Regions from separate parts of the Mus musculus genome. Here regions 1, 2 and 3 are each reported to be linked to region 4. Evidence: microRNA targets listed by miRTarBase, many of them from high-throughput screens and not tested one by one. Region 4 holds a microRNA gene; each other region holds the end of a gene's coding sequence.

What was found. Region 4 holds the annotated microRNA mmu-miR-466p-5p (UAUGUGUGUGUACAUGUACAU, at 3,330-3,350, opposite strand). A microRNA usually pairs through its seed, bases 2 to 8, with sites in the 3' UTR of a target mRNA and lowers its output. Matches are read on the target gene's strand: a 7mer-m8 pairs with bases 2 to 8, a 7mer-A1 pairs with bases 2 to 7 and ends in A, and an 8mer does both.
Region 1: miRTarBase lists Gatc as a target of mmu-miR-466p-5p. Seed matches in the 3' UTR shown: 8mer at 1,208-1,215 and 8mer at 1,270-1,277.
Region 2: miRTarBase lists Ints8 as a target of mmu-miR-466p-5p. The part of its 3' UTR that is shown has no 7-base or 8-base seed match.
Region 3: miRTarBase lists Appl1 as a target of mmu-miR-466p-5p. Seed matches in the 3' UTR shown: 8mer at 2,050-2,057.

Annotation. Positions count from the first base shown.
Region 1 is chr5:115,330,219-115,335,218 of GRCm38, reverse strand. Gatc (glutamyl-tRNA(Gln) amidotransferase, subunit C) reads left to right here. Exons shown (of 3, transcript NM_029645.3): 3 at 625-1,977. The coding sequence ends at 680. Srsf9 (serine and arginine-rich splicing factor 9) reads right to left here. Exons shown (of 4, transcript NM_025573.3): 2 at 4,561-4,721; 3 at 2,930-3,102; 4 at 2,139-2,643. The coding sequence ends at 2,500. Among named protein-coding and RNA genes, the nearest start is that of Srsf9, 5.5 kb to the right of the region's middle.
Region 2 is chr4:11,200,294-11,205,293 of GRCm38, forward strand. It overlaps Ints8 (integrator complex subunit 8), which reads right to left. Exons shown (of 27, transcript NM_001159595.1): 27 at 2,635-4,290. The coding sequence ends at 4,174. Ccne2 (cyclin E2) reads left to right here. Exons shown (of 12, transcript NM_001282943.1): 10 at 1,012-1,123; 11 at 1,897-2,054; 12 at 2,692-4,486. The coding sequence ends at 2,805. Among named protein-coding and RNA genes, the nearest start is that of Ccne2, 11 kb to the left of the region's middle.
Region 3 is chr14:26,919,539-26,924,538 of GRCm38, reverse strand. It overlaps Appl1 (adaptor protein, phosphotyrosine interaction, PH domain and leucine zipper containing 1), which reads left to right. Exons shown (of 22, transcript NM_145221.2): 22 at 668-5,000. The coding sequence ends at 811. Among named protein-coding and RNA genes, the nearest start is that of Asb14, 27 kb to the right of the region's middle.
Region 4 is chr2:10,504,289-10,509,369 of GRCm38, reverse strand. Mir466p (microRNA 466p) reads right to left here and starts at 3,364; the gene lies at 3,276-3,364. All of the region lies in intron 10 of Sfmbt2 (Scm-like with four mbt domains 2), which reads right to left. It overlaps Mir467e (microRNA 467e), which reads right to left and starts at 3,649; the gene lies at 3,563-3,649. It overlaps Mir467d (microRNA 467d), which reads right to left and starts at 1,740; the gene lies at 1,656-1,740. It also overlaps Mir466, Mir297c and Mir669c.

The DNA.
Region 1 (5,000 bases), not on the chromosome of region 4:
GCCTATTTGCTTGGGAAATTAAGTATATGACATCTGTCTGGCATTTCCTCAACTTTATTGGCAATCAATTCAAATAAGACTTAACAGTGCCACACAGGCCAGCAGAAACATACCTGTAAGTATGCCAGCCAGCCATGGTTTGTAATCCCTGATATAGCAACTTGCATTTCCAGGCTCACTGTACACAGTTTAGAACTTCTTGTCTCCTGTGCATGAGTTCTCAGAGCTGCCAGCAGTCAGCAATAAACCCTGTGAGCGGGAGGACGGAACTCTATGCTAACCATGCTGTCTGCCTTGGCTGGCTAAAGATCCTTACAACCCTGCCATGGCAGGGCCAGTAGTTCCTCCTACTTCATCATGTGTACCAACGGATCACACTGCAGACAGGACCTTGCTCCTGACAGAGGTTTAGTCTGTCTTTCACTCTTACCTGCATCTGTTCCTTGCACTGAACAGCAGGGATCTGGCTTCACTCTGAACCGTTAACTGATGCTTGAGAGTTAGGAAGAAGGACGGCACCAATACTTACTTCCAGTTCTCCGTGAAATCCAAGTGACCAGTTAGTTTAGGAGAGCCAGCTGGACATCAGGCTCAACTCTAATGTTCTTCTTATTTTTCAAACAGGTAATATTTCCTTGCCAGACATGGTAAACAAGATTCCTTCTTCCACAGCAGAGTAGCTATTCTGGGGAAGGGGCACCCTGTCAACATGGTGGACTCACAAGGGTGGTCATTTGCTACTGTGAACTCTATCTAGTATAAACTGGATTTACAGTTTCTTGGTAATTGATCCGAAGACAACTGGACAACACCCAGCTAGCAGAAAACCACAAGCCTGCTTCCAAGGAAATGGATCAAATACTCAGACTCATTCTGTCTGAAAAACAACTTCCTCCCTCCTCTGCCCCTAAAAAACACTACCTTGTCAAAATATCTATGTGGACTTTTCTGTTTAGGTGTAAGAGACAGATGACCTGAGATGAAGAGACAAATCAGTTCTTTTTAGTTGCTTTCCCACTGGCTTCAGAGCCAGCACATCACCATCTGTTTCTGGGTACCTACCTTATGCCTACCAGAGGGCTCGTTTTATGGATATGTTTGAGTAGTATCAAAGTAAACTACAGCCGGGAACTCCTAATTCAGAACCATCTTTCTTTCTCAGAAGGCCATCCAACCTCCACCTTGCACTCAGTCCATGAACAACATACACACATACACACACACACACACACACACACACACACAGTATACGTGAACACCCAACCCCCACACACATACCATGCAATATGAACACCAGCCAAATAGTTCCTTTCTGAAAAGAGAACTTGTTAAAAATAGCCCTAGGCCCGTCTTCATTCTTTCTCTTCCCTTTATCTGCAATGTCTGTGTCCCACACACACACCCTTTTCTTGTTGCTCAGATAGGCCTCTCTGTACATCAGGCTGGCCTTGAGCACACAGCTATCTTCCTGCTACAGCCTCCCAAGCACAGGGGTTGGAGGCCTGAGCCACCTCAGTGAACTCCTATTATGGAGAGTTCAGTTTACAATGCCAGATCTGAATTGTAAGAACTCCGAGTCTGGGTCAGAGATCCCTCAGTCATTCAGAGACCTTCCTATCCCAGGTATGGTGGCTCCGTGTCTTTCATTTCATTCCAACACTTGGGAGGCAAAAGCCAACAGATCCCTGAGTTCAAGGCTAGCCTGGTCTACAGAGCCAGAATTATTCTGAGAAACCCTCTCTGGAAAAGAAAATGGAAAGAAAGAAAAACATCAAACCAAAGAAACAAACCCTCCTGTTCTTCATCCTGAGCTGAGTCGGGCTCTGGTGCCCACCTCAACTCAAGGTGACCCATGACCTCCTGCAATTCCAGCTCCACAGGGGTTGATGCTGTCTTTCTGGCCTCTGTAGGCACTAACACACACGCGGCATAAACATGTAAATAAAAACCAACCTTTAAAATAAAAAAAACAGAGTCTGCCTTTGGTGCTGATTTTTTACAATCGCCACCATTACTCTGGCAGAGTGATGAAGTTTCTGTTCCTTACAAACTTCCATGACAACTCAAATGATGGTTCTCTTTGGTCAGTACCTATCAGATGAAACCTACATACTCAATCAAAGACAACTGCACGCCAATTACTAAACATTTAAAATATATTTCTGAACAAAACGGGCCCCTCGGGCCCCATCTCCGAGCAGAGCAGCCCATGAAGATGCAGCACTGATTTCCGTCCCATAGTCAGGGTGAAAAATGTACAGCTTGTTCCTGAACCACAGACACACCTTCTCTCTGCAGCCTAACAGGTCACTGCTAGTATGGTGGCTCTAGCCGAAATTATGTAGTTCCTTAAAATAAAAAAAATAAAATAAAATAAAAATAAAAGGAAAGAAAAGAAAAAAAATGTCCTAAGACTCTAATCAATCTGGAATGTAGACTCTGAGCACAAAGTAGCCCAGCTCATCTAAAAAACTGAAGAGACCCTTCCTTCCCACCCCCTCAGTAGGGCCTGAAAGGAGAGAAGTAGTGTGGCGAGCCCCGGCTTTGGTATGGCGAGTCGCGGCCCCTGGACCCAGACCGCGACCGTGAGTAGCCATAGCTGGTGCTTCTCTCAGGATACACTCGGATGTAGGAAGTCTCACCCTGAAATCCAAACAAACAGAAGGGAAGAGTGAAGACCCAGAGGCACGAGCAAAGCCCAGCCCTGGCACTCACTGTGTGCCTGGCATTGTCACCTCCCTCAACGTTCACTGTCACACGGAGGTGGGTACCCGTCCTCTCCGTTTCAAACGGAGGCTATAAGCAGAGCAACCCCCGTAGCTCTGTTCACTCTAGACAGGCTTTAAGGTAGAGTGACATCATCAAATGAAAAAAGTACGACCCGCTATTATTGCTGGTCAATTAGACTTAATGGAAGGCAGGAACCCACCTCGTGAGAGCGGAATTTGGTGTCATCCAGTTTACGCAGAGCATATTCCATGTCCTCTTTTCTCAAATATTCAACCATCCCCATTCCGTCCTTCTGTACGTCTGCATAACAGACATCCCCAGCTTCTCGCATGTGATCTTTCAGGTCCTGCCAGCTGCCTGATGGAGGAAGTCCTAGGCAGAGAATGGAAGAGAAGACCACAACCTCAGCCGTGCTAAATGCCCTATGAGAGCTGGCTATGCCTACGGTGGTCTACGCTCTGTGGTCACTTAATTCTTAAGGGTTCCCAAGTCACAAAGCATATGGGGCAGAGAACCAGAGAAATATACTGAAGTATATATGGTAAGCCACTGTGAGAAGCTGGTCTAAGTTAACTGTCCAGAGACCAAAAAAGCTCCCAACTAAGCAAACAAATCCGCCTATCACAGGCTTTCAACCTCTGAGAATTTACCACTCTGTGCTTCACAATCAATGTGACACTCCCCAAACCTAGTTCCAGGTTTTATCCATTAGGAAACTTATTAGTACCAAGTATTTCTTGCTGAACTTATTTTTCCCAAGACATGAGAGTTTTGAAAAAAGCCAAGTGCAGCCAAGGGAACAGCACAAGAGTCCGTGTTTTGTTTGTTTCTTTACAGCATGACTGGCTGACAGAGCACAGAATACCTCCTTAAGAGAACAACACTCCTCACTACAGTGGGGAAGGGGACACTCAGACGCTAAAGCTAGTTGGGAGTCATACGACCCTACCTGGTGTCATGAAAGGGAAATGTGCTCCTGCTCTCAAAGGCTGTGTTTGCTGCGCACAGCTCGGGACTGCAGCCATTTCCTAATAGTTTTCTAAGCAGGAGTTCAGAGCAGCATGGAGAGAAAAAAAGATAATGTATGACATCTTGAAGGAGGGAGTGGAGTCCTAGGGTTAAAAACTACAGAGGAACACAGGGAGACAGATTCCATCACTCGTACACATGACTATGATTGTGGGACTGTCACACTCTAGAAGGGCCCCTCAACTGCCCTGTGACGTGCAGAGGGCCCTGCCCGGGGTCTTGGCACTGCACTGATATTTTAAAGACACAGCTGAGCTGAGCACTTGGCACGTCATCTGGTGACACCAGTTATAAATAAAAGCTCTATGCCTTCCAATGCCATGCCCACGATTGTACATTGCGTGCAGCTGGCTCCTGTGATGTCTAGGAAGGAACATTCCCAGAGGAAAGAACTCTGGAGCAAGTGCTCTCCCACCATCTTGGCCTCTCACCAGTAAGAAAGCACTCTAAGAAACGTGTTTCTCAGACCATGGTGGCACACGCCTTTAATCACAGCGCTCAGGAGGCAGAGGCAGGGGGATCTCTGTGAGTTCGAGGACAGCCTGGTCTACAGAGTGAGTTCTAAGACTACACAGAGACTGGTTCAGAACAAAAAGAGCAGTAGGTTTCCGTCCCACATAGGCTGCATTACTTGCACGGTTTCATCCGTACAATGTCTGCCTCCCTGACTAACCAGGGCAGAGCTTTCCGCTGCCCGGGTGCACTGGCTCCTGAGAAGCCAGCATGTCCCACGTCCTCAACACTAAGCCACACACTTCCTTGAAGGCTAGACTCTCGTTCAGCAAAGTGGTGAGAACATACCTGAAACAAGAACTCGGAAATCTGACCGTCTTGTAGGAGGCCCGTTCCTTGCACCACGGGGCCACCCACCCCGACCTCCGTAAGTCCTGGGGAACTCCACACGGAGTCGACACTGGCCATAATCGTAACCGTTTCTTCCATAGATCGCATCCTCAGCATCTCTGCAAGGCAAAGACTGAGATCAGTGCTACCCCACAGCCTGGGTGACTTCTCCATGGAGGGCGAGAGTCACTGAGCAGGGAGGGAAGTCAGCCAGAGGGAACAGGGAGATGGACACCAGACACAAGCTTGCCACACTTGCGCTCAGGTGGAGGGCCGTTCACATTACTCAAAGTTTGACAGCTGGGACAGCAAGATGGCTCAGCCAGGGCATGCACACACTCTGAAGTGCAAAATATGTTAAGAAACTGAAAGTGCAAAATATACCCAGAAACTGAAAA
Region 2 (5,000 bases), not on the chromosome of region 4:
CAAAGAAAACAGGCACATTAAAAATATTCTATAAAATTGAGGATATTTGTTTGTGAATTGAGTTCTGACATGAGTTTCAGCTCCCAAGAGATCTCACATACTTGTAAATACTTTAAGATTCCAAACATCCAGATTTGAAAATACTGGTCTCAAGTATTACTTAGATAATAATCTGTGGTAGTATTTCACTTGCAACTCCTCCAGTTTCTACCACCTTCTTACCTGATGTGTGAGTACAAATACTAAGTTTTATTCAATGGACAGGAAATCAGCTTAACCTTCTGAAATCTGGCTGTGCAACTACTACTCTTCCTGCATTACCAAGATAATACACCACTTACCTAGCTAGTTGCTAAGAATGTTGCATTCTAAGCCGGGCGTGGTGGCGCATGACTTTAATCCCAGCACTCAGGAGGCAGAGGCAGAGGCAGAGGCAGGTGGATTTCTGAGTTCGAGGCCAGCCTGGTCTACAGAGTGAGTTCCAGGACAGCTAGGGCTACACAGAGAAACCCTGTCTCGAAAAACCAAAATAAAATAAAATAAAATGTTGCATCCTAGTCTGTCTAGTTTACTGCGTCCTTTTAAAAATGAAACTGCTGATTTAAAATCCCACAGTGGGCTTAAGTAGTAGTGCTCCAACTTGTAAAGGTCCTGTATGATGTAACAAAGCTACTAGATTTCCTTGCTTTCCACTGCCCACCTTGGATAAGGAACAAAGGTTTTCCTTGCTTATTATTTCATGAGAATTATTACCTTTGGCAACGTTCTGTTTCAAACATTCTCTCTCACCAATTTTCTGGCCTAGCCCGTTACCTAATTCAAAAGCCCTCACAAGCTTTTTCCAATCTAGATGAAGTGCTCACCCTTCTAACATTATCACTGTGCTCCTAGAACTTACTCCCTTTCCTGCAATTCTGAGTCTGGATGGTAGCTTATTTACTTTATAGTTATATATAAAATAGGGACTCATTTATGTTTCTCTTAAATTACCTTTTTTTTTTTCCTTGTTAGCTTTTAGATCTGTGCATTCTAGCCATCGACTCTTTAGAATTTCAATACAGAATTCTGGCTGCTGCCGCCTTATGTCATTTTACCTCCATTGAAGTGGTTAAGAAAGCTTCAGGTAAGACTATTTTGTTGACTTTGTACCTGTTCACAACTTTTTTTTTTGGTTTTTGGTTTTTTGAGACAGGATTTCTCTGTGTAGCCCTGCTGTCCTGGAACTCACTCTGTAGACCAGGCTGGCCTCAAACTCAGAAATTCACCTGCCTCTGCCTCCCGAGTGCTGGGATTAAAGGCGTGCGCCGCCACACCCGGCTGTTCACAACTTTTAATGGAACTACAGATACCTTAATACCTTACCAAACACAAAATAAAACAATTTAGTTGATTTTTATTTTGCTAAAAGTACTTAACCCTTAGTGTATTTCCATAGTCATAAAAGAAAATAAATTCCCAGCCAAGTGGAAATCAAATACCACAATTTTAATTTGTATGAATAGAAACTGGTTTAAAAGCTTAGAAGTGAGCCTGGAAAAATGGATCAGTGGTTTAAAGCACATACTGTTCTTGGAGAAGACCCAGGTTTGTTTCCTAGCCCTCATATCTTGTTCTAGCTCCAGAATATCTAACACTCTTCTGATCTCTGGGCACTTGTGTACATGTATACACATTCACATAAATATAAATCTTTAAGCAAAAAACAAGAACAAAAAACACCTACCCTCAAGAGAGTCAGATGAGTAGCAAATCCTATAATCCCAGCACTGAGGCCAAATCAAGAGGGAAGCCAACCTGTGCTACAGAATGACCCTTGAGAAAACTATTAATTCTTTTCAGCTTTAACGTCATGTAAGGAACAGTTTGATTAACATTGTATTAACTTTTTAAATCTAGGTTTGGAATGGGATGACATCTCGGAATGTGTAGACTGGATGGTGCCTTTTGTTAGTGTTGTAAAAAGTGTGAGTCCAGTGAAGCTGAAGACTTTTAAGAAGATACCCATGGAAGATAGACACAATATCCAGACACACACAAATTATTTGGCTTTGCTGGTATGGTTTTTTGTTTTATGTGTTTTATGGGAGGTTGTTTTTTTTTTTTTTTTTTTTTTTTTTTGCTGCCTTATCTTTCATTGTTTTTAAAAATCGTGCTATTTAGTTAAGTCCTGAAACTAATGGGGTAGAAGTTAGCAAAGTTTATCTAAGGTCTGAAACTACTGTGCATTACTACTTAAGACAGTTATTTAAGATGATAAATGGGAAAGTAATGACCATGTTGACTTAAAATATAAGGGAGATAACTAAATTAAGGCAGACTTGATGATAAGGGCCTAGGATGCACACTAACTAGTACTAGGGAGGCTGAGGCAGGAGGATCATAAGTTCCCAGGCCACATAGTAAGACCCTATCTCAAGAAAAATATTACTGTTAAGCAGCTTAAAATCAAGACCAGCAGCCCAGATAAGAAATTAGAAAGTTTTGTTGAAATAAACAAGGCTGATCTCTAACTCGGGGATCCCTCTGCCTCTCAAGTGCTAAGATTAAAGGTATGTACCACCCCCCAGCCCCCAACAAAGATAGAGACTCTAAAATTAAGTTTGGATAGAAAAAATTGGTAGAGGTCTGGTATTACTACATACTTAGTTTATCTTAACTGTTAATTACTGAATAATTTCTTCACATGTACAGAATGAAGTAAACTATGTGAACATCTACAGAAAAGGAGGGCAGCTGTCACCAGTGTGTAATGGAGGCATTATGACACCACCAAAGAGTACTGAAAAACCACCAGGAAAACACTGAAGTTAACAACCTGGAATTGAACAAATAATGGATAGTTTCATATAAATGAGTTTTACAGAAAAGTAGTGCTGTAACTATCCTTGTCTAAGGAGTTACACTGCCATTCTTTTACTTAAAAACTATATCAATTTGGCACTAAATGCCTAGGATGCACAAAATCCTGGGTTCAATCCCCAGCACTACAAAAGGAAACAAAACAAAAACTTCAAAAAATTGGCACTAAAGAAGTATTTCCTATAAAAGAGAACTTGTTTACAAAGGTGACTTCACTCCCAAGGATAGTGGATGGAAGCCAACAATTTAAGCTATAGCAGTTGTTTCTGTTTGTTACTGTGTTTCTTTAAAATTCAGTGTTACTGTATTTCTTTTGATGAACTAGGAATTTTATCATTGGAATATGGACTAAACTAGTGCTACCTTAAAGGATACATTAGCTGACACAGAACTTTGAATCTAGATTTTATATTCTTAAATTCCTATACTCTTGAATGGTGCAATTTGTTTTTGAAAATAAATTTTAAGCTTATTTACAAAGGTTGTTTTGTAATAAAGTGACTAATTTATCTAAAGCAGTTTGTAACAAACGATAAAACTTGAATTTTATGAATGGTAAAGTTCAATCTGTTTTGAACTAGTTTGTCTGCCTTGCCATATTTCTTAATCAGTAAGGCACTGAACCAAATGTTTAAACTGTGCTCTAAATGGGAGAACCAAAGAAATTATAAACAAGATATAAATGCTTTGGCTTCTTCTACTCGGGGGTTTTACTTGATAGAAAGGTTGCTTTATAATCTTTTTGTGTATCACAATTTGGGTAAAATTAAACACTTTTTCAAACTATATAAGAAAGTCACTTTATTGCACACTAAGATATCTCTAAGGCGCTTTATGTTTGCAAAACTGGTGGTCCATTTTTAAGCCCCATATTATGAGATGAGGACTGTGTCAACATGAAAAAACTTTAACATATGACCTAAACTATTTTCTTATGGCAGAAAATATTAAATGTATACTTACTCCTAGAAATTTATTTATTTAAACTTGCTGTATATAGAATAGCTACTTATACATTAAATATTTTAAGTTAGCCTTTGAAAAGGAAATTTGGGCCTAAAAAAGTTAATTTCATTAGAAAAAAAATGGTACCAGGCATGAACCTTGTCTCTCTTTGAAGAAATTATAAACTATTGTTAAGATATGAAGTTTTTGTATAATTTGTTTATAAACTAATTTGTTTCAGTTTGTTTTGGTCTAAAAAGAAAACACCACTAAATTGTACATATGTATTATATAAACTTAATCTTTTAATACTGTTTACTTTTAGCCCACTGTTTAAAAAATAAAATTGAAAAAAAATTAACTAACTGCTTAAAAGTAAAGTTTTGCCATTGCTTGTAGAAACTTCTTTTTCCTTCTCTGTGCTGCCAGCTGTAATACTTCTTCAGGGTTGCTTGCATTCAATTCTGTTTGGCCAATGGCTTTGATCTTAAAACAGAAAAGTGTTATTAGAAGTTTGACTGAAAAAAATTGTCACAGTAGTACACATAACTCAAAGTTAAAGTTAACTAAATCAAATTAAAAACTACAGAAAAAAATGGCATCACATTGATCCACTTTTAGTATGGTTACCTGGAGGGACATTTAGTTACACTAAATAAATTTCTGTATGCTTATGTGATTGTATATAAGATGGTTGTCTTTAGTAACAACATCTTTATAGTTAAAGTTTGAAAGAAATCACAAGTCATGTTTCATAAACGGGCAAAGTAGCTATGTTCTCAGAAGTAATTAGAAACACCATGACCTACTAAGTTAAAAATCTAGTTTTGTGTTTTAACTGTCTGTCTCTGACCGAAATTTTAAAGCTATAATTAGACTAGAACTTTCTGGATCAAGGAATGCATATGGGCAAAGGCTGGTGGTGGGGTGGTAATACCTTAAACAAGCCATGGCATCTCAGATAATTGGTAGAGAAGCACAGGTATTTGAGAGAAATCATACACCTCATCCGTGTGGGTGCTATAAAAATCGTGACAGGATTGATAAGGAACAGTGGGCTGAGTGAACAGCCCTGTGATGGAGCACTTCATTAACATGTATGAGGCCATGGATCTGTCTCTAGCTCTGTGACCGAAACTAAGAAAGAGCAAAGGAAGGCCCAAGGACTACCTACCTAGAGGATGAAATTTAAGAAT
Region 3 (5,000 bases), not on the chromosome of region 4:
GTAAAAAGTCTAAAATATAAAATACTCACATGACATAGAACTGTGATTATGAGATTATACAAAGTATTAGAGACCAAATGTATAACACACTTTTAAAGGAGGTTTTGGTCCTAAGGATCAAACCTATGAAAGAGTCATTCAAGGGCGTGGCATCGATGGTAAGAAAGAAGAGAGAAGGTAACTGGGGAACATGGATGTGAAGAGAACACAGGAACTGGAAGTGAGCTGGGTACAGGGCTGAGAAGAGAAAATGGCAAAGACAGCACAGAAAGAAGGGCAGCTTAGGAGAGGGGAAGTGACACTTGATTTAGCAAGATAAACAGGGCAGGAGTAGAGAAGACCTGAAGAGTGTATAGTGGGTGCAGAGTGGTGTATGAGAGAAGACAGTCAGAACTCAGTTATTAGCCACAAAAGGAGGGGGGCTTTGCTCTTTCTTAATTATTTTTTTTGCATGTTTGCTTTTTGGGATTATTCAAATGGTGCCAAAATTCATGCTGGTGTTTTCATTTGTTGCATCTAGCCTTTCTTTTCATTAGGTTATCAGAATGAGTGCATGTGACAAGATTGGAACAGCTCTCATGTATAGTAGAGCTCCATCGGAAACTGCATAGTTTTTTATCTGACTGCTGACAGTTAAATTTAGTTTCTTTCTTTATCTTTCCACCAGGACTTGGAAGAACAGAGTCGGTTGATAGCTGCCTCCAGTAGACCAAACCAGGCTGGTAGTGAGGGCCAGCTTGTTCTTAGCAGTAGCCAATCAGAGGAGAGTGATTTGGGAGAAGAAGGGAAAAAAAGAGAGTCGGAAGCATAAACTTGTTGCTGCTTTTTGAGTTCTCATTTCCCTGGGATGTGGCACAGCGTATCCATGCTGAAGATCATGGAAGAGATAAGCTTTACAGTAGTGTGCTTCAGCTTCATTTAAAAAGACTGAACTTGATAACCGGTTATAGCGAACATTTCCCCGTAAAAATAAAATACTATGCATTGTCATCCAACTCTGCTTTCCTAAACAAGACCTGCTTACTTTTCTGTAGTAGATTGCTGAGGAATTACAGGTCTTCAAGATATTTTTCCTTTAAATTGTGAACATTTTATCTTGCACTGTAATTGGCTGTCTCCATAAGGAATGATTTATTCTTGGATTCTGACATTCCTGTGTATACTCTCCCTTTCATTAGGAATGTTTTATTGGTAGTGAGGGAGGGCTCAATTGAGTGAGCTTAACATCCTTTATGTGGAGAATTCTATAAGTGTGCAAGTGTTGTAACAATATTGAGTGTGCAATAGAATTTGCACAAAATCACAAGGACGGGGCAGGTGGTGCTGTTGACTTCAGGATGTTTTGTGGCTTGCTCCATTTCTCTGATGTACTAGATCATGGCAGTGGGAGACCTCAAGTGTCTGTTGGTGTTTGTGTGGCACTTGGTATTTTGTTACCATCTTCTCAGTTCTCAGGTTGGGACTTTACTTATTGCTGCAGAACAGGAAAGGTTAGAGAGTAAGACTTCAGAATTTATTGAGATTGTTGTTGTTCAAACATTTTATATTAGAATTGACATGTAAAGGGAGTGTTGTAGACTGATACATTGTATTTTCTGTATTGTGAAATAATTTTTAAATGACAATGAGTGACATTTCAAAAGATGTTCTATAACAATTATGTTTATTGCTTAAATAAAAATGTGCAGTTTAGTTTAGAAAACAATCTTTTGAATTTCAGACTGATAACCCCAGTATTTTCATAATCCCACATTTTGATAATGTATTGAATTGCCACTTTTTATCCATAAAGGCAAATAACTAATTTGAGTGTAGAATAATTTGCACTAATAATTGTAAATACTTTTACTTTTCAAATGAGTAAAAGGTCTAATTCCATGAAAGACTGAAAAGGAACTGAACACCTCATATAGTGCAGGACAGAGTTAGCGTGTACTGAGGGTGATTCTGTCAAAACTTTCTTTACTAGGACTTTAAACTGTGTTTACAGATTTTATTTTCATTCATTCTACATGAAAAGGTGTGTGTGTGTGTGTGTGTATATATACACACACATATGTATACAGGTTAAATATATTGATTAGTATTTTACATAGTCATACATTTAGAGATTTTCAAAAGGTTAACCACTAATTTCACAAGTAGTTTCTCTTTGTTCTGAATTAGAAGTTTTAGTTTTCAGCTTATAGCTCCGTTTCACACTCTGTAAGTACACTGTTTTCTGTAGGAACAAGATAACGATATATATAGGATCATATTCTTTTTCTCCATTTGCCAAATGAGACTAATGGTTATTTACTACTCTTCAAAGTCTTCTGTTACCCAAACATACAGTTAATAATTATCAATTTATGGAGTGCATTTGGCTAAAAGTCTGTTTTGGGCTTACTAAAGGGAATGCCTTCATAGTAAGTAGTGTTTCCTCTGTTAAAACTGTGAACTGCTGTGGTTAGACCGTGATTAGTGGTGACAAGTCTTGCTTTTAAAACTTTTTTTGATATTGGTAAGGCTTCTTGTTTTGTTGTTGTTGTTGCTATTGATTTTATTTTGTTTTTGTTTGTTGATTTTCGCAGTGATCAGTTACTAAACTACCACAGAGCCACACCCCCACCCCAGGTTTTCAGTTTCATGAATCTTTTCTTGATGGAAGACGTCATGCTTGCTTCAGATGAACTGTGTTTTATAGTAAGAGTAGTCATCAGGAGGCACTTTTATTTGGTTGGTGCTTTGCATGGTAACAAAATAGTGATATTTGGATAAAAATTTAGGCCAGAGGTAAGAATTTTCTAATTCTTTTTAAGTCATGTTTCATAGGAACTCCCCCAGTTGTGTTCATGTCCATGGGTCAGACCAAAATGTGTTCCAGTGCCTAGGACGCATTCTGAGTGGATCAGTCCGTTTCAGTGATTTAACTTGTATCACTATTAAACTGTATGCAATTCTGCACATCAGCTGTAGTCAGCTCTCTGCTTGAAGAAGGCTCCTGTCAGCTTCTTCCTAAATGTTAGTACAGATGTCATTCTGTTATACTATCCGCCAAGATCTCCCACAACTTTTTTATTTTGGGGGAGGCACAGAATTGATTTTCTTGTTCTGAGTTTGGGTTCATTCCTGTCACGGTCACTGAGCCAAGGCAAGTAGACCTTGCCTCTTCAGTCTTAGTCCTGCGGGCGTCTGCTCAGATTCTCTTCCATATTCAAAATGCCCTGGAAAAGCTTCACTGTTTTAATACGTCCTAGATGTTCAACTGAAGCAGAGCGAAGAAATGGCCCTCCCAGCCCCATCCACCTAAAACAAAACCAGCAGCTGCTGCTACAGCCATTATGAAAAAATAACACAAACTCTTCTTAAAAAATAGATCACACAGAAAGAACTGAGGGCAGATGCACCTGGGGGGAGGGGGGGGAGGGCTGCCCCAGCCACGGGGAGAGGCCTGGGTGCTGAGATGACCCTGCAGGGCTGGGGTGCTAGTAGGTGGCTGCCTCCTTCCTTCTGCCTAGCCTCTGTAGTGTGGGCTGGATCCCAGGCATCTTCTGCCCTCTCCCCTGAGGGATCCTGGCCCCTGCTGAGGACTGGTACCTATTTCTCATTAAAGTGGCTTTGATCAGGAAATGAGATGGACACCAAGCATGAGTGAGGGCCACTGCCTGGCTACATGTCTCCCAGCTTTTTAGAAATTAACAAAGTTGCTTTTTAAAAAATGAAATTTAGCCTACCTAATTATACTCTGCATTCTGTTACCTATAGCTAATCTTGTTTTTTTCCATTACTTAATGATTGATTGGTGTTCAATTTCAAAAGTGTTCCAAGCTCCACAGTGTTGGGATGAGGATGTTGCCGTTATTTTTGAGAAAAGGATCGTAAGATGTGCATAACATTGTAGGTAGCATGGTTTTGTGCAGTGAACACACAAGTAACTACAGGAGCTGCACTCTTCACAGTTTGAACTGACAGTGCTGGCAGACCCTTAAAGCAGAGTCTTCTGACACACGAATGAAAGGAAATATTTGCTTCTAATAACAGTCTGAGCATTTAGATCATACTTTTAAGTATTTAAACACACCATTGTATATGGCAAGCAAACTTTTAATTTTATTTTTAGCAAGTTTATTTCTCTTTGAAATTGTCATTCTACATTAATAACATAAAGATTTTAAACTAGAACCATACTGAACTTTTTTAATGATAAGATGAAATGGACTTTAAAGGAAAAATTATTTAAAACTTTGTTAATAAGCCTCAATAGCATAAAATACTAATGTTAATCAAAATACTTCTAAGTATTTTTAAAGTACTTTAAAAATCTCCATCGGGCTAATTCCTATGTATTTCTTTTCCAGGAATATTATTCTTAATAGCATAAGCTTATTAAGACTAAATGGAAGTTGAAGGATTAGGCACACCTAGAGCAGTGGCTTCACCGTTTGATTCTCATTTCTCTGTGGTTTCCACCTCTTATCAGGAGCTGCCCTGGAAAGGATCCGGTCATGCTGCCTGCCTCTTTTCATCTGTCATGATGGATTTCATCCCTTTCACGGGCCTCTCCATCCTCTCTTTCCACATGGGTTGTGAGCCCAGCATTCCTGTCTCTGGCTTCCTGGGCCACTGCTCTAAGTTTCTCTTCATGCTTCTTTTCTTTTTGAGTCATCTTACTTTCTACTTGGGCTTGCATTTCCACTGCTGCTCAAGCCTTCTGATCAGCAATGTATAGTGTTTCAGCCAGTTTGGCAAATTTTTCACTTATATGGACCATCTGAAGTCCTCTTCCATCAGCAGCTAGCCATTTATCTAATGGAATGGTATACCCCTTAGAGTTCTTCCACTTGGAAATACAAGGAGGGATTTTCCACTTCTGCTGTTTCTTTACAGTCATCTTCTGAAGAGGAGAGTGCATTACAAGTGCAGGAGGAGATGATGGTCCCTGAGGGATTTTCGTATTAACTTTGAATCTTGGATGCTCCATTTGGTCTTTTTGCATTTCTGCTATCCAGTTAACCCTG
Region 4 (5,081 bases):
GTGTGTGTGTATGTTATTTATATGCAAATACACACATCCACACACAACTATACACACATGCACATACATGGAGGCATCACATGAATGCCAGGCTGATCTCTAACTCATCATGCCGTTAACATGAATGTGCACTCCTGATCACCCTGAATCTAGCAAGTCTTCTCCTGGTGACTGAGACCTCTCTCTGTCAGCCCCAGTCATACAGAATCTCTAAGACTCTAAGTCACTAATTATTCAAATAGATGGATGAGTGCCAATTTTTGTGTGTTTGTATGCATGTTTGTATGGGTATGTGTGTATGTATATGTATATTCATATACACACATGTACATGCACACATACATATACACACAGGCATATATACTAGGGTCATCACAAGACTCCGAAGCTGATCACGAACTCATCATGAAGTTCAGCATGAATTTTGATTCCTGGTCATCCAAAGTCTGGCAAGCAAGCATTTTCACCTTGTGAGTGAGAGCACTCACTGGCCCAGCCCTGCATAATCTCTAAAGCTCTGAGTCACCTGTCATTCAAAAGGATCAATGAGTGACATTCCTCTGTGTGTGTGCGCGTGTGTGTGTGTGTGTGTGTGCGTGCCTGTGTGTTTATGTTTGTCTGTATGTAGATGTATATTTGTATACACACATGTACATATACACAAAACTATACACACATGCACATATATGGGGGGAGGATGCCATGAGGCCAGGCTGATCCCTAGGTCATTTTGAAGTTATTCAGGAATTTGAACTGCTGATCCAAAAGGCAAGCGTTTTACCTGGTAAGTTAACTGAGACATAGCTCTGGCCATTCCTGTGAGTGAGTGTGTGTGCATGCGTGTATATGCATATTCATATAGAGAAGTGTATGTGCACAAAGCTATACACACATGCACATTCTTTATGGTCATCACATGAATAGCATGCTGATCTCTAACTCATCATGAAGTTAAACATGAATTTGAACTCTTGATCCACCTGACTCTGTGGTGTGAGACCTCTCCCTATTGAGTACTGCAGAATCTCTAAAACTCTAAGTCACATATCATTCAAATGGACTGAGGAGTGGCATGCGTGTGTGTGTCTGTGTCTGTGGATGGGTCTATGTGTGTGTAGGTATGTATATTCATATACACAATCCACACACAGTTACACACATATACACATACATGGGGACATCACATGATTCCCAGGCAGATCTCTAAGTCATCATGAAATAAAGCATGAATTTGAACTCCTGACCTCCTGATTCTAACAAGCATTTTTAACATGATGGGTGATAACTCTCCCTGACCTAGTCACACATAATCTCCAAAGCTCACAGTCACATAGATCAATGAGTGAGTGCCATTCCTGTGTGCCTGTGTGCTCATATGTGTCTTATGTGTGCGTGTATGTATATGGATATCATATTCACATATGTACATGTACACACACATAAACACATATACACATACATAGGGGCAATCACATGAATGCCAGGATGACCTCTAACTCATCATGCCTTTACCATGAACTTGCACTCCTGATCTTCCCGACTCTACCAAGGGTTTTCCCGTGGTTTGTGAGACCTCACCCTGGCCCAGTCATACATAACCTCCAAAGCAGTAGGTCACATATCATTCAAATGGATCCGTGAGGGCCATTCCCGCATGTCTGTGTGCATGTGTGTGTAGGTGTGTGTATGTATATGCATAAAATATACACGCATATACATGCGCGCACTTATGCACACAGGCACATACATAGGGGCCATCACATTATTCCAGGATGATCTCTAACTGCTCATGAAGTTAAGCATGAAATTGAACTCCTGATCCTCCTGACAATGCCAATTGTTTACACCTTGTGAGTGAGACCATTCACTGTCCTTCTACTGCATAATCAGTAACATTCTAAGACATATATCATTCAAATGGATCGATGAATGCCATACCTTGGTGTGTGTGTGCTTGCTTTTATACGTGTGTGTGTGTGTGTGTGTGTTATGTATAATCATATACACACATGTACATGCACACAAAATTATGTGTGCATGTACATACCTAGGGTCCATCACACGAATCCAGGATGATCACTAACTGATCATTAAGTTAAGCATGATTCTGAACTCCAAGACTTCTGATTCTGGCAAGCGGTTTTCATCTAGTTGGCGAGATATTTCACTGTACCATAAATATACACTCTATGAAATTCTAAGCACATATAAAACTTATGGATGACTGCCATGTGTTTCTGTATGCATGCATGTGTGAATATGTGTCAATATATGTCTTTTCATATATCCGCATGTACAGACAAACTTATCTATACACATACACAGAAACAATCACATGAATAACAGGCTGATCTGTAACTCATCAGGAAGTTAAACATGAATTTGAACTCTGGGACCTCCTGACGCTGGCAAGAGCATCCACCTCCTAACTGAGACATAGCTCTGGCCCAGCACTGCATAAGCTCTAAAGCTCTGAGTCACATACCATTCCAAAGGATATATGAGTGCCATTCCTGTGTCTGCATGTGTGTATATGCATATTCACATAGAGAAGTGAATATGCACACAACTACACACACATGCACATTTTGGTGTGCATCAATGAAACACATGCTGATCTCTAATGCATCATGAAGTTAAACATAAACTTGAACACCATATTCTCCTGACTCTAGCAAGATTATTCACCTCCTACCTAAGAAATAACTCTGGCCATTCCTATGAATGTGTGTGCATGTGTGCATATGCATATTCATATAGAGAAATGAATATGCACACAACTATACACACATGCACATTCTTGGTGGGCATCACATGAATCCCGTGCTGATTTCCAACTCATCATGAAATTCAGCACAAATTTGAACTCCTGATCCACCTGACTCTGGCAAGGGATTTCACCTGCTGAGTGAGACCTCTCCCTATTCAGTACTGAGGAATCTTAAAACTCTAAGTCACATATCATTCAAATGGACTGAGGAGTGGCATTCATATGTGTGTCTGTGTATGGGTCTACGTGTGTGTAGGTATGTATATTCATGTACACAAATCCACACACAGTTACACACATATACACATACATGGGGGCATCACATGATTCCCAGGCAGATCTCTAAGTCATCATGAAATAAAGCATGAATTTGACCTCCTGACCTCCTGATTTAAACAAGCATTTTTAATATGATGGGTGATAACTCTCCCTGATCTAGTCATACATAATCTCCAAAGCTCACAGTCACATAGATCGATGAGTGAGTGCCATTCCTGTGTGTCTGTGTGCTCATATGTGTCTTATGTGTGCGTGTATGTATATATCATCATATTCACACATGTACATGTACACACACATAAACACATATACACATACATAGGGGCAATCACATGAATGCCAGGATGACCTCTAACTCATCATGCCTTTACCATGAACTTGCACTCCTGATCTTCCCGACTCTACCAAGGGTTTTCCCGTGGTTTGTGAGACCTCACTCTGGCCCAGTCATACATAACCTCCAAAGCAGTAGGTCACATATCATTCAAATGGATCCGTGAGGGCCATTCCCGCATGTCTGTGTGCATGTGTATATAGGTGTGTGTATGTATATGCATAAAATATACACACATATACATGCTCACACTTATGCACACAGGCACATACATAGGGACCATCACATTGCACCACTCTTTCATGAAGTTAAGCATGAAATTAAACACCTGATCCTCTTGACACTGTCAATTTTTTACACCTGTTGAGTGAGACCATTCAGTGTCCTTCTACTTCATAATCAATAAAATTCAATGACATATATCATTCAAATTGATCAATGAGAGTCATACTTATGTGTGTGAGTATTCAAGTCTGTATGTGTGCATGCATGTGTATGTATATGTATAATTATATGCATACATGTACATTCACACAAAGTTACACACACATGCACATACCTAGGGTCCATCACATAAATCCAGTACGATTTCTAACTCATCATGAAGTTAAACATGAATTTGAACTCCAGATCCTCCTGACTCTGGCAAATGGTTTGCATCTGATTAATGAGATGTTTCCTGTCCCATGAATATGCACTCTATAAAACTCTAAGCACATATAAATCAAATGGATGATTGCCATGTGTATTTGTGTACACATGTATGTGTCCATATATGTGTATATATATGCATATACATATACCCACATGTACAAGCACACTTACCTATAGACATATACACGTACACAGAGGCAAAAACATAAATTACAGCCTTATCTATAACTCATCATGAAGTTAAACATTAATTTGAACTTCATATCCTCCTGACTCTGGCAAGAGTATTCACCTCCTAACTGAGGCATAGCTCTGGACCAGTACTGCATAAGCTCTAAATCTCTGAGTCACATAACATTCAAAAAAATATATGAGTGACATTCGTGTATGTGCATGAGTATATATGCATATTCATGTATAAAAGTGAATATGCACACAACTATACTCACATGCACATATTTGGAGGACATCACACGAATCGCATGCTGATCTCTAACTCAATGTGAGTTAAACATGAATTTGAACTCGTCATCCTCCTGACTCTGGCAAGAGTGCTCACCTCCTAACTGAGACATAGCTCTGGCCATTCCTATGAATGTGTGTGCATGCGTGTATATGCATATTCATATACAGAAGTGAATATGCACACAACTATACACACTTGCACATTTTTGGTGGGCATAAGATGAATCCCATGCTAATCATGAACTCATCATGAAATTCAGCACGAATTTGAACTCCTGATCCAACTGACACTGTCAAGGGATTTCACCTGCTGAGTGAGACCTCTCCCCATTCAGTACTGAGGAATCTTAAAACTCTAAATCACATATCATTCAAATGGATCGATGAGTTGCACTGATGTTTGTGTGTGTGTTTCTGTTTGTGTCTGTGTACATGTATATATTTGTGTAGATAGGTACATCCATATACTCAAATCCACACACAATAGAAACAGATACAGATAGAGATACATAGGGGGCATCACATGAATCCCAGGCATATCTCTAAGTCATCATGAAGTAAAGCATGAATTAGAACTCC